Drosophila melanogaster: one gene and its partners. The protein of the gene in region 1 interacts with the protein of each later gene in a pairwise test. Each region holds a gene or a part of one and is shown on either strand. Other genes may lie near its edges.

Evidence for each region. The genes of interacting proteins can lie anywhere in the genome.
Region 2: the proteins of elB (region 1) and CG14563 interact in a two-hybrid assay, tested with the Drosophila melanogaster proteins (one large-scale study listed by BioGRID).
Region 3: the proteins of elB (region 1) and CG7548 interact in a two-hybrid assay, tested with the Drosophila melanogaster proteins (one large-scale study listed by BioGRID).

Annotation. Positions count from the first base shown.
Region 1 is NT_033779.5:14,406,057-14,412,475, forward strand, and holds the start of elB (elbow B), read right to left. Parts: upstream 3,494-6,419; 5' UTR 2,381-3,493; coding exon 2,312-2,380; intron 1-2,311. UniProt on the Drosophila melanogaster protein: May negatively regulate Notch-induced cell proliferation in the eye-head primordium. May act in leg and wing primordia to negatively regulate body-wall specifying genes and thereby promote appendage formation. Required for tracheal development.
Region 2 is NT_037436.4:21,840,537-21,844,619, forward strand, and holds CG14563 (uncharacterized protein), read right to left. Parts: upstream 1,851-4,083; 5' UTR 1,820-1,850; coding exon 1,522-1,819; intron 1,442-1,521; coding exon 1,371-1,441; 3' UTR 1,272-1,370; downstream 1-1,271.
Region 3 is NT_037436.4:7,504,269-7,508,783, forward strand, and holds CG7548 (uncharacterized protein), read right to left. Parts: upstream 1,950-4,515; 5' UTR 1,934-1,949; coding exon 1,340-1,933; 3' UTR 1,272-1,339; downstream 1-1,271.

The DNA of each region.
Region 1 (6,419 bases):
AGTTGTGTTGGGTTTATTTGGTGGCCCAAACCAAACCAAACCAAACCAAACCGTACGCTGCCAAGCAGCCTGTGGTTAACTGAAATGAACGTCGGACTGCATAAATGGCCGCTTGACTGACACATTTAATTATATTAATGATGTTTGCGGTCAGCTGACATTTGCACTTTATTTACCTTTTTCTGCTGCTCTGTCAGTTTAACTGTCTGTCTGTCCGACTGACTGACTGACTGACTGGTCTTGAGCTCATGTTAAGCTCTGACATGAGCCCGCGCAAACTGGAACCGAAGCTGACTTTCACGTTCACGTTCACATTTCAGATTTCAGATTTTGAATTATTGCCCAACAGATAGCTCAGCAACGGTCGCATTTATTTCCATTTTGCGACGCCGCTGCCTTCTTCGGTCAAAAAGTTTTGTAATTTTTCAACGTGTGACAGCAAATTATCAACAGTCACTTTGAAGATCTCTCTCTTTCGGTTTCTGTGTTTCTGTGTATGTCGCTGCTTTTATGGGGCGCCACATAAAAGATATACAAATGATGACACTGACAGCTGTCAGGCTTAGTTTATTTGATTTTATTATAATTAATTATAAGCAGCTGCCATTAATCATTGAATAATTTATAAGTTCGCAGATAGTATCGCAGATAAAGCACAAAAGAAGAAGGTTAGTCAGTCACCGGCAGACACGTAAACATAAATTAACTCAAAGTGCCGCGCGTAAGCTCTTAAGTCTCTAAAGAAAAACGTATTAGCAAGAATATTTGTTCATTACAGTACTAATAGAACGTCATAAATAATTAGTGCGAGTATACTAATAGAACGTCATAATTTACTGATCGACAGAATTTGAGATTACATCTCGTTGCTTAAAGACGCAACACTTAAATTTTAATGAAACCCAGATTCACAGAATCTGTCAGTCACTTGGCACCGGAACCAGTTCATCATTGGGCCTCGTATGCATATACGATCCGTTGATTTATGGGTTTTGCCTCATTTGCGCCACTGAAAAGCTTTCACACGACCAATATGGAAATGGCTGGGCTCTACTCTCCGAAATCAGTAAATCACGTAGCTCCGAAAACGCTATTTCAAATTACCCAGTTAATGAATGTACTCATCGTGCTGGTGCCATAAACTGCTTCCGTTCTTTACGAACAAAATGCGCTCAACAAATTAAAATGAAAATTTATGAGTCTCACGCCATTTCGAAGAGAGATAGTTTTGGATAAAGTGAGTGGGGGAAATGGGGACCACAACAACTTTGACTCTGATTAACTGCCATAGTTCCTCGAACTACGGTCGTGTGTGTGTGTGTGTGTGCCGGTGTGTGTAAGTGTGCGAAATTGCATTTGTTTTCTGTCATTATAAATTCAAATTTGGCGCGCCATAAATTTAGATACAATTTCCAGAGGTGCACTCGACTCTCTAAACACTTTCAGACGGAGGCAACTGGGCTGCAGATTTACATAGTTTAATATGAACAAACATAAATAAGTTTTATGTGCAGATATTGGAGAATTTATCGTTTTACGATTGTGAATTCGCTATTTGCCTCTTCCCAGACCCCGCAAAACAGTTCCGTTTTGCCAGCACATGGCCCAAAGTCTTCTGGAAGTTTGGAGGAGGTTGTTCGTTTCGGATTGGTGCCGTAGTTTCATACATATTTCGCCAGTGGCGAGTGCTTACAGTCGACATTTTTATTATATATGAAATATGGCTCGACAATCTATTTCAGATGTCTGAAATGTCGATAGTTTGTTATTCATAGCTGCAAGTTTTATAATCGAACGTAGCGAATTGGGTGTTATTGCTAGAATTTGTACTACTCTTCTTATCCTGTTTAAACCATGACTATTCTGGCATTTTTCTTATTCATATTTTGATATATATAGAACTTAACCCTTAACAAGATTTGTTCTACTTAACGATCGGAACACCAAAGTGAAATAATAATCTCTGAAGAGAGTGTGAAGAATGCGAAAACAAATAATACGAAATTTACGTCTTCTTATCAACATTTAAGAATATTATTAAATTTTAAGACCAATCAATATTTGAAATAATAGTTTTAATGACTTTTAACCGAAACTGTTCATCAGATACCTATCCCTTTCAATTAATATTTTATCCCATATTAGATAGCTAAACCAACTCACTGAAAAAGAAATCGCAATAATCACTGAGCTGTATTAGGCGATAAGCGCTAAGTCCATATAAACGCAATAAATTTCTGATTGCCGAATAAAATACCTTGTGAGAATTATCCCCAAAAACCCCAAAAATGAGACAAAGAGATGGGCTTACCGCTGTTGGGGCAGCTGCAGCTGTCATATAATCCGGTCTTAAATAATGATGATTGCTGGATTGCAGCATTTTATTATAATTTGTTAAATCCACTTTGACGGCTTTTCTTTGGTGGTTCGGTGGAGGTGTTGAGTGGTTGTTGCTTTTGTCCCGACCGCAAAGTACGGCAGTGCGCTTAACGGTAAGTGCCAATTTATGTGGCGTGTGCTGCCAACTCGTGTGAAAAGCGGCGCCTGCGCCTTGCTTGAAATATTTTCCAGCTGCCTGACTTTTCGCTGATTAAGCCGTCCACGTTTCGCGGTTCTCGTTGATGTGAGTACTTATTTATGATAATTTATTATTGTGTTTATTTTTTATTTTTCCTCTTTTTATTATTTATTCCGATTTCGATTCGCAATCGTTATTGCTGATGCTTGCTGGGCTTTGTTTGTAATTCGATTTCATTAATAATTCAGTGCTGTGGCGCAGGGGGGATTTCTCATGCGTCGAGTTGTGACTTTCACGCCAGCGGCATATTAATTTGTTGTTGTGATATGCTGGCTTCGCTTTAATTGTGCAATAAATTCATTAAGTATTATAATTGCCTCAGCGGTATTTATTATTTATATGTGTACACGATACATATGTGTGTAAAAAAGAATTTACACACTACTTTCTTTGCTGGCTTGCATCTACAATATTTACGTTTGATTCACGCATGGGCTTTTACAATGTATTCATTTATGGGTTTTCCTTTTGTTAGATATACATAGGTATGTATGTACTTTATTTATTTCTTTGGCTTGGCCGTTTTTGGTTAGTGGTTTCGCTCGAATGCCTCGTTGAGGGCGCGTTTTATGATGAGGCACGTACGTTATTAGATGGTTCCGGGAACGTGGGGTTATCCAAAAGTTTGCTATTTACTGAGCTAATTTTGTTTCACATGTATACTTTGTTTTAAACTCAGTCTAATTTTGATAAAGCACAAGGATCACTCGAAAACGACTTAAAAAATAGGCGATTGTGTTGACTTTCTCGTATATATTTTGAAAATTTTTTTTTTTTTGCGTTTGGGGGAAGTGCATATGTATCCGCCTGGCCGATTTTACGCTTTCGCACTCACAACACAACACTCCGGTCGTAGCAGTCCGTCCGTTCAGCGCACGTACGAACTTTAAACGTGAAATAACGAAATTCGACTAAAAATCTATAAACAACATGACGTGCACGCTCCTTTTCGCTCTTTTCGTATCACCCCCACTCTCCAATCGGCTCTCTCAGTAGTTTCGCGCTCGCTTGAAAACCAGTTCGCTCTTTGTTGTTTGTGGCCGTTTTCGTTTTCAACAAGTGTGCTTTTGTTGTTGTCCGAGGCCATGCGCTCCCCTTTTTCTTAGGGCGCGAGAGCGAAAGAGCGAAGTAGTTGGGGCACGAGAGCAAACGTTTTTAGTTCTGCGCTCTTTGCTGAGCGCGCATGCTTTTTGCTGAGGCAGCGAATTTCGCGTGGGAGCTGAGAGCCAAAAAGCGTAGTAGAATTGGCGGTTAGTAGTAGACGGATACTATGTGACGGAGAAGCAGTGTTGACGATGGGAAGTAACGGAAATTTCTGGATATTTTTGAAAATGTATATTTCCGCTTTAAATTTGATAAATAAAATGAAGGGTAATCACGGTACCCGGTTGTTTAAGAAACATTTTTTTATATTATACTTATGTACCAAGAATTATAAGGATTTTTTAATATTATTAAATAAAATCTTAAACATTTATTATACACATAGTAGGGAAAGATTTTTGGAAATTTGTAATTCTGAGCACAAGTAAGTTCACACTTAGATCAAGCAATAAGTTTTAAATATTGCGTATACGCCCAGTTGGAAAGTTTTTCTTTGCGCGCTATCATTGAGTACAAAGCTAAAAAATTCTAGAAATGTGTAAATAAAATATTGGAAATTAAAAATAGAGCCAACACAACACACACAACGCTGGGCACACCGACACCAACACGCTCATTGGACGATCGCCGCTTCTGTGTAGCCATTTTGGGTAATTTTGTTGCTGTTGTTGTTGTTTCACAGTGTTTTGTGGGGAATTTATTTCCACACATGTGTGTGCAGCCATGGCGCCTGTGTGCGTGTGGAGAGCGGAACGGCGTCGGCCATAATTGTTTACGAGCAGGTGGGCGTGTGTGTGGCGCTCGTTGGTGTGCCAGTGTGAGAGTGTGTGTGAGGAGGGGTTGGGGAATGTGTTAAAAACTGCAAGCCGAGGAAATATGATTTAGAGCACCAAACGAGAGAACCATTTCCGTGGAGAGAACACGATTTGGTGTATTTCCCTCACTTCGCAGAGAGAGTTTTCCCCACTGTAAACAGAAAACAGCTGGCGAAAATGAAAATCTCGGGTTGCACATGATGACGGGAAATGTCTGAGACGAACTTATCCCTCATTTTGCACACTGAAATCAATTTTAGTTTCTCACTTAGATGCTATAAATGCAATAAGAATGGAATGTTCGAAAGTAATATCGTAACATCTTTAACATTAAAAAATGTTAATAAAAAAAAAACAAATTTGTAATTCAAGTTTGCCGATTAAATTTCTCTTAATGCTTAATATGTACATATGCAGTTTAATATCTAAATCATAGCTCCCACGTTAGGGCAATTTAAGAAATCAAATATAGGAGTCATAATCTCTGGTTAAATTGCTCTATTGGGTCCGCATCATCGTAAAAAGCAAAAATGGTCGTAAAAACACAACCAAGACCACGCAATTGGTTAAATATTCAAAAGGCGAAATGCTGCTCTAACTTTATGGCATTAAAATGTTTAGGATTTGAAAGAGAAATACACAATTATACTAATCGTGGCGCTTTGAATTAACAATCAATAATTTACATATTTCGGCCATATATTGACAGCTGCCACTGCTGCTCCACGCCTTCTTGGAGCATTTTTGGTGATGCTCTCATAAAATGCCCCCGTCCATTGTGGATTTTTGTCGTGTTCATTAAGAAGCTTTTGAAAGTTTCGCCTTTCAAAAACCATAAAATGTTTATTTAGATGCCACTTTAATGGCGGACAGAGTCAAACGTTTTATAGCTTCCTTTTGTTTCACAATATGGTTTTAGTTTCGTTTTCGGACTTAATAGACTCATTTCTGGTTTAACACAAAACAATCGAGTTTCAATTAACCACACAAAAAGTATATGTCGTTTTCGCTCTCTGGGTAAACCACAAAATTAAGTGGCTAACAGTATTTTGTGGCCACAACACATTACAAACCACACAAGCGAACTGAAAAAAGGGAAATTATAATAGAGAGCCGGGTTTGCCCATATCCTTTTTTTTTTTCGTACGCGTTTGTCTGCCGCGCCCAAGCGAATATCCCCAACAGACAAATAAGCGGGGGTGCGTTTTTCACGGTGCGGGGGTCGTTTCCGTTTCGGGCTTTTGTTAGCATTTTAGCAGTTCATTTATGCGGCTTACAGGACGAGGAGGCGGCACATGTGACCGGAAAAGCCCTTTTAGTAACACAAAATGGTCACCAAAGTGGTTGAGTGCTTGTTAGTTTGCGGGATGTCTCGGGAATAATTTGAGATGTGACAATGGGCTTGGAAAAACTTCCTCATTACTATTTGACTATATATTTACTAGTCTTTCAAAAGGTATCTATAAGTATGCAATGTTTTGCTTCAAATAAAAACCCCATCGCTTTTGTAGAACTCGCTATACTAAATGTGTAAGCATTTGTTTTATTAAAACGTTTAAAAGTAGTTCATCAATATTAATGTATTTCTTTGTTGAAAGCAATAATAATAAACTAAAATGCATATGTAATTATCCGCAGTGCTGCCATTTGTATGCTGTACCCTCTTAAGAGATGCTGCAGTCCTCGGCTGCATCTACTTACCCGTTGCTCGATTGCAGTTGAGCTTTACCCCTTGCCACGCTTTCTCCTATGCTTTTCATCTTTTTACCCTTTGGCCACATTTTCCGGGCGACTTTCCCGTTGTATATGTGTATGAATTATGTGCTGCACTCTTTTTTAACCCCTGGCATATTTTACAAGCTGCTTTACTAGCCCCGTACTTATACTTTGCTCTCCAATAAACATACAAACGCACTTACCCA
Region 2 (4,083 bases), on another chromosome or scaffold:
GGCTACGGAAATTTCCCATTGCCGAAACCAGAAAGATGAAGAGAAGGTGGCTGAAGGGGATGTGGGCAGAAGTACATACGTATGTAGTTCTTGTGTTTTTTAACTGACGCTGCCTTGATTTATGAAATTAAGCGGCACAAATGCTGGGGAAGGGGTGCAATAGCAGCGAAAATGGTAGAGAATCGAAAAAACACCCCACGGTGCGCGTGAGCAGCCCCTGTGAGAGGGATAGAGATGGCTGATAGAGTGGGAGAGGAAGAGTGCGGGAGAAAGGTGGCGAATATGTGGAACAAGCTCTTTTAACGTAAGCATACTTTGGCTATTTGTCTTCCTCTTTCCACTCACTGCTTGTTAAGTGCTTAATAATATGTAACGATGAACTAAAGACATTGATATTAATGCGAAAGGAGAGGAAGTTTATGGAAACGCAGGGAGCGGGAACACCGAGAAATTGCCTTTGGAGGCCAAATGTAAAACAAATTTATTTACTGCTCAGCTGTAGATACACAAGCACACACACAGGCGCAATAGAATGCAGTCGGTTGGCTTTGTTTTTTTGCTTTTCTTATTGGCCCCAATTACGCAATACAATGTTTTTATGCCGCCTATTGGCCTCCGCCTTTTAAGTCGCCGTCCATCCCATTTGAACCTGCAATTCGACTATTCGGCGCTTTTCCACTGATTTCGGGCTTACTTTGTGTGAGTTTCAGGCGACGGCGGCGGAATTCGGCGAGAGCACGAAGTGTGGTGTGCCTTTGTTTTGTGTTTTGCGAGACTATTGGTCGGTCGGTCGAATTTGGACTTGGCTAACGGCCGGGAACTATCGGCAGACCGATACAATTTTGCCCCCCTTACTATCGTGCACCTTACAACACTGTCCATAGCTATCGATAAGGCGCCAAGAATGCACATGGATCAAACTTTGTCGATTTGTTATCACGAAGCAAAAAATATTTTTCGGTATATGGTTATATATGGGATCACAGCCTCAAGGCTTTTTTATAACTATTAAAACGACCAGATATGCGTACGTAGTTATTGACTCAAAGCTAAAAGCTGAGAAAAGGATCTAATGATCCCACAAAGAGTCATGGCAGCATAAACTTGGCGGAACATACATAGGGTCAAATGTGCTAAAAGACATACAAATTATCACATCAGTTCCGGGAGCTAATAAAATTATGGTGGTATACATGAAGGCACTAGTTAGGTGTACAATTTTTTACCAGGTACACTAGTTTTGGACACGTCATAAGAATAAGTCTTGACTTATAGAACATAAATATCATATTTATTAGCACTAACACACTTATGGGGTAGGATGACTTAACCGTATACCTATCACTAAACTATATCAGGTTTCGCGCTTCCTAGCCGTAGTATCCGCTTCCACCCGCACTGGCTGTTGCGAATCCTCCACTGCTGCTGGCGTAGGCCACGTCTAGAGGAAGAAACAGGTCCAAAACACTTGTAGATTACTTGTGTGCTAGGCACCGAGGTGCTATCAGTCGGGAAACTCACTCATGCCATTGCCGCCGTAGGGATATCCTCCATAGGGGTATCCGTACTGCCCGTATCCACCGTACATCGAGTACGGGTTGTAGCCGGGATACGAGTAGTACGGATATCCGCCGTAGCTGTAGGGGTATCCGTACATGCCGCTGCCGTATATGTTCCCGTATCCCGATCCCGCTCCCGCATTAGCGCCGCCGTAATAGGGATAACCGTAGTATTGGCTCGCGGATGGCTGCAGGAAAATGGCGACCAGGAGCAAACCGAACCAACAACATGGAGAGCGGCTCGACTGTTTCACTGACATGATTTTTCTGGCCATGTTTATCGTGTGTAATCCTCGAACGTTGACTGAATGCAAAAACCCCGGCATTAACTGATTTTATAGAGTTTGCCGCCGAATGTTTGCAATTTTAAAGCATAAAACGCTTTTTTAATGGAGCTTAATCGGGCGCCCATCAGCGGCTGCTCGGTTTGCTCGTTCGTGCGTAACCCAGCCGGCGTATACGCAATATTTTTAAATCCCAATATAAACGCTCTGCAAACGTATGTATTTAGTGCAAGTTAACAACAAGAGAACAAAACAAAACAAAACTATTTGGCTCTTTTTTGCCTATCGCCGCGATTACTCATCCCACATCTCGTCTGATTTGTGATTGCCGTTTTGCTATCAATTTAAATTAGTCAGTCAGCCGCTTTTTTTGCCAGGGGTTCACATTTATTCTGCGTAAACACAGTCATTAACCTTAAAATTGGTTGATGGTCCGCCTAGTCATGTGCGATGCCAGTGGTGCTTTCCACTTCTTTGAGGTTCATTGCCGACCTGGACCGTGGTCAATGCTCATTCACGCCCTTCGGATGAGGTCAACCGTAATAACTCCGATTCTGATAATTGGAATCGTATTGGTTTTCGGATTTTCCACTGCGATCAGCTTGGTCGTTGGCCGAGAGTTCAGTTTGAGGGACTTTTGGCTACAGAATTTTGGCCTTGGTGGTCATGCATCGACGCTGAAACTATTCCACAATGCGAATCTGTCGGTTTGGAAAGTGATACTTGAGAACTGCATAATGGAAAGTTCAATGTACTTATAGATTAATTTATTCTTCTTGGCTATGAAAGTAGGCTTACAACTTAGTAATTTAGTGATGTTAGATACGGTGGGTTTACACATCTCGCATAGTAAATAAGCTTTTAAAAATGTGAAAAACGCAAGTCGTGGGCAATTGCAAGGAATTGTTCTCAATACACTTTGTAGCTCTTGCATATGTGCCCGAAAAGTATACAACATGCCATTCATAAATATTTAAGGCCTTTCCCGTACCCAACTCATTCGTGTTCGTGTAGGTGTGTGTCATTACACTGGCCAACAATGCAAAATGTCACAATTGGAATTGTCCCGCCTTTGGGTTCCCATGCAGCTGACGTTTGCCTTCCGCCGCCCGCTCACTCACTCTCTCTCTCTCTCACTCTCTCTGCCGGGGTGGTTTCTGACTCTCTCTTCTTTGCCGCACTACTCCAGGTAGCTCAGGTAGGTTTGAGCCTCGTAGGTGTTGCATTCCCGCTGACCTCCAGTAGTTGAGTGAGTTGCTCCGGCCGGATGCCGACTACGCATGCTCAAGCCTGGATGTGCACGGATTTCGGGACACCCTATATTAAAGTAGCCTCAGTTGTTTGAGCCGAGTGACTTGCTCATAAATTCGGCTTGGTAATTTGTGTACTATTTAAAAGGGTTTCATAAAAAGATTGTAATTGAGATCTTGTGCAAATAAATTAAGCTTAAAACTATTATCAAATAATAATATATTTTACAATGACCCAAAATAATATTACATATAATGCATAGTGAACACGCCTTATATTCTTAAAAAAAATGTGTGTCTGTAAGTTTTATTTATAAGAAGGAAATTATGGTTATATTACGACTTTGAAATTCTATCTCTCGACATTAAAAATGCCTCCTTGAAAGTTAACATTCTAGAAAGGGTACGCTTCCCCAGTCCCCAATTTAAGGACTTAATTTTCCAAACCCCAAACGAGCAATTTTCATATTAAAAAGTTTGTCTATGCCGAGCCTAACTCCCGTCCCCACTTTCCGATGGAAAAATTGAAAGCTATCCCTTACAAAACTTCTACAAACTTTTCATTCATTTACCCTCATACTTTCGCATCATATTTGGGACAGTAAAATGCTAATTGTTTGTCCGAAACGAAAGAAACCTCCTTGTAGCCATCAATTTTTCAGCATTCTTACGTGTAATTAATTAAAAATTTGATGCAGCAGCAACTTTTGTTTGCTGTCGAAATTACAGCAGCAACAAAAAGCTAATTAAAACTTAAAATCATATAGGAGTGCAACTGGAGCCGTGCCGTGACCCACAGAGATCGCCCACTCGAGAGTCTCACTCACTGGCAGGAGAAACTCACTCAAAGCGCCGAATTGCAACTGAAGTGTTACGCATACGCCGCGTGGGACCGAGCGAGATGCCATCCTGCTGTGAGTGAAAGCCGGTCGAAAAAATAAAGAAAAAATCAATTAAAATGCACTCGAGTGCACCGCGCTTCTGCACTCA
Region 3 (4,515 bases), on another chromosome or scaffold:
TTATTTCACAATTTTTTTTAAGCCACCCAAATTGACTTAATATTTGTTGGAAGCACGGAAAGTATCAAGATGTTGAAGCAAGTTTTCGCCATGACTCTATCTTGCTTTGCGGCTTTGCCATTTTGCGGTTTAAAGGGCCATTAAAAAATGTAATTATGTTGATAAATACGTCTTACTGGGCATTTTGCATTTTTATTTTTCGCCAACTTGCCTTTGGACGATGTCCTGGCTGTGGAAAGTGGGAAAACTTTAGCCGCAACAGCTAAATAAAAACAACAACTAACGGCTCGGCCTTTCTTCGTCTCCTTTGCATTTTGTTAGCTGTTTCAACTTTTCAGCCAACAAATTTACTAGCCCTGGTCGGGCAAATATTTTATCATTGCGCCTTTTAGCACTCAAGTGGCGGACAGAAGTGGTGGCTCAAAAAGGGGGAATGACAGGAGGTCCTGCAGGATGCCGGACTAAGCGGAGTTTATGGCTTCATTTTTCGCAACTTTGTGCCTTTTGCTCGGTTTTTCAATTCGGAAATTCGCTCCAGAAGTTGCTGGCCCTGTTCTGGTAATCATTTTGGCCATTACTTTGATGGCCAGCTAATGAAGCTATCATTTAAATAGGCTATGGAAAAAAGAGGAGCACACAAATTGGTTATTGACTCCGGGCATTCATAAGTTTTCGATTTGCTTCCGGCTGCGTATGGAGTTTTCCTTTTTCTTTTGCAAAATTAATGAGGCAGCAAAAATCTGATTTCAATTTCCCGATTACAGTTGTCAATGTGCATAATTTACGAGGATGGGCAGAATCTTATTAGTTCATAAGCCATGCCACTTCATGGTCCTTCGCCCTTTCAAATGCTCCTGGCTCCTTTGGTTGCCATTCCAGTCACGTAGCTTTCATGTCCGATTTTTAAGTTTGCGCTGCACAAATCACGTAAGCCCTCTGCATCCTTCTGCCCTAGGATCTAAGGATCACGGACTGGTGTAAGGACCAGAGCTAATGTCCTACTTGGGGCTATTTGTAGGGTGCACTTTGTGTGGATTTTTATGATTTGTTTACGCTGCCTCCGAACGTGAGTGATAAACAGGGAATAAACCACACGATGTACAAGAAAACCAATGCAAATGCTGCGTACATGATGCAAATATGGTTATGCAAGAACATTATATAACAAGCTGTTAACAACTATTAACTGCAGAGCTTAACTAAATAAAAAATTAAATCGAATAAGAAACAATGTCCAGTTTTTATAAGTATTTAAAAACATTTAAGGTTTTAGTTCAACAATTTATTTAACAAGCATACACAAGCTATTCTTTATAATCTTAACTTAAGTATTGATCACTTAAAATCCGTAGTGGGTACCGAAACCATCGAAGCTCATGTGGGAGACGGTCTCCGCCGGAGAATAGTGGATGACAGCAGGCTGGTGGCTGTAGTGGGCGTTCTGTTGGTAAACAGAAGGTGCCTCCACATGACCAGGTTGGTGGTAGCTCTGCACCTGAGCGGGCTGATGGTAAACCGATGGAGTCTGGACATGAGCAGCCTGCTGGTAAACCGATGGAGTCTGGACATGAGCATCCTGCTGGTAAACTGGCGATGCCTGAGTAAACAGATTTTTTGGTTCCTGATGAGCCTGGTGCGTGTAAACCGGAGCTGGAGCTGTAGCATAACTGAAGGTCTTGGCCACCGCCGGCTGGTAGACATTGTTGCTGATCCGCGTGTCCTGCTTGTGGACCTGCGAGTAGGGCGTGGCCAGCGACTTGGCGTAGTGGGAGACGGTGCCATCGAAGCTCCTTACTACATTCTGTTGGGTGTGGGCCACCGCGTGCTCATTGCCAGCATAGGTGATGGTCGGCTGAGCAATCAGACCTGCCCAGGTGGGAGCCAGGAGTAGAAGCAAGCTGGAGGCAACGCTGAGGAACTGGAAGTAAGCCATGTCGATTGGAGCAATTGGAACAACTGTGCTGGATAACTCGGTGGTTGGGCCATATATAGAAGACCTGACCAGCGCAATGCCAATTACTCATAATCGGGCGTACAGCTCAAACTCGTTTCAGCTTTGCCGTCTGGCTTTGCGTGACTTTCAGAAATCCATTTCTCTATCCCTCGATCGTGGCAAATCAATTTACAATTGCCCAGCTCCAAGTGACAGCCACAAAAGTCGGTGTGGGTGAGCCTATCAGCCGGAGAAGGCAATGGAGAAGGGCGTGTCGTCGACCCAGTTTATAAAGCCCAAGACTTTGGCCCATAGACATTGCATAATGCCCGGAATAAGGTAAGGTCTGTGCACTTGCCGCACTTGCTCCACATTTCGCGGTGATGGCAACTTACAATTGTCCGCTGAAGGGCCATCAAGTGGCCAAAACATATTGCGGCCAGCGCGATTTATTGCCCATCGGAGATGCATTAACGCCGCTGCCAAATTGTTAATGCATTTCAGTTCCAACCGCTCTTCAAGCATCTCAATCTGAGTGTTACGCTTCCACATGAATATATGCATCTTAATGTGGATAGTTGTATCATCCGAAGTGGTAATAGTTGCAGCAAAGGAACCATCACTGTTTTAAACGTATGAAAATAACATATCCATCCCATGACTTAAATTTTGCAGATATGAATATATCAAAAATATATCTAATATCAACTATTAAACCTCCAAATGCATCACTTCTTAAAAGTTCCATTGATTTTCGATCGAACTGCGCCTCACTTCCGCTTTATACTTAGTTCCCTGTTTCCGTTTCCGTTTCTGTTTCTCTCTCAACGGACTGACACTCCAGTCAACTTGAAGTTGCCTCATTGATGCGATGCCGCTCTTTGATTCTTTGGATGGTCCGTGAAATCGTTCAACTCACAATTGAGTCATAATGCAATTGGCAAACGTCAAGCAAATGTTGTTAACTTGCCAAACGACACAGAGAATGGGAAGATGGATGGATGGAATGGATGGACTGAACTGAATGGAGAGACCGGATATCCGATGGGCAAGTGTTGGAGACATTGTTGCCATCAAAAGCGGAGGAAAACTTTTGCGCAATGAAAATGACACACACTGGCAAATAGCATCAACATCTCGGCGCCAAATGTGATTACGGTAACAGCGATTGCTGACCAACTTGAGAAAGTCACCTTTGTTGGTCCCACTCGATACACATATCTTTATTGTGCAGATTATTTGGGAGATTTGGGGGGAGAGTGTGTGCTTGTATGTCCATTATGGTCCTTATGAAATTCGGCACATAAATTGTATTATTGCATTTATGCTTGATTTTATTTCGCAGCCCAACTTTCGACTCTGCTTTTCTTTGCTGATTGTGTTTGAGTGTCGAATTGGCTTTCGCATTACTTGTTTTTTTCCTTTTTTTTTGAGTTTCGTTTTGGCCTTAAGTGGATTCGTCTTCGTTTACGTCTGCATTGTCGTCTGACTGAACTTAACGTTTTATTGAACCGACAGGAATCACATGTGAGTGCTTACATTTCAACGGTTTCCTTTGCCATTTCAACTCATGCGCCAACGCAATTTGAACTTCAATTAGCTGCATTTGGCCATGGCTAATAAACGCCGCCATTCTCGTCGCTCCTCGTGCTGATATACAATTACAAATGACGCGTCAGGGCCAGGCCGAAAGTCAATTACCAGGGAGCACGGTGGGAAATGATCTTCCCTCTAACCTATTTTGGATGAATGAAATAGTACGTAGATTTTTTTGAAATTAAAAAAAAAAATTTCAATAAGTCTGCTGCTTGAAAGTGGGAGCAATAAAAAGTACGCCATTATACTGCTCAATAAAGAAAAACCTACATTAAGCACCAAACCATATGTATAAGTAGCCATTTAAAACACTAGAGTATTTAATTCATGATACGAATTTATTTTAGCACTTAACCTAATACCAAAAAGGAAATTTTTCTCTGTGCACTCGAAAGCGAAAAGAAGGAATAGTAACATAAAAGCCCGCGCCTCGCTGGCTAATTGGAATTGAAACATAAATTAAGCGTCCAATTCGGAGGCGAAGACGGCAGAATGCAACTAAAACTTTACGACTTCTTCACTTTGGCCAATTGCGAGTTCGACTTCCGCATTCACATGCCGTTCTGCACTTTTACGTTTTGTCGTAATCCCCGCCAATTACGATACTAGCCACTAGTCACCCACTACACACACTCCTCTGTTGGCCAAGTTTTGTAGTTCTTACCGCTGGTGTTGCATCCACATTGACAGCTTAGATTAAGTGTTGACCATAAATTGGCACGGTTAGTTGGCGCTTGTATTTATGAGGCCAGTGCAGTTGCCATTTAGCAGGTCGAATTTATATACTGGCAATTACAAGTGGTTGTTCATTTGTTTAAAGATTTAATGTGTATATTTGTAATAAACATAAATTTCTTCAGTACATTGGTGATATTTAGGTACATATTTTGATAAGCACTTGTTTGAACAAATTTCTATATTATAAATTACGAGAGAAATAAAATATTAACCACAAAACTCTGTTGAATCTGAACTACTGGCACACG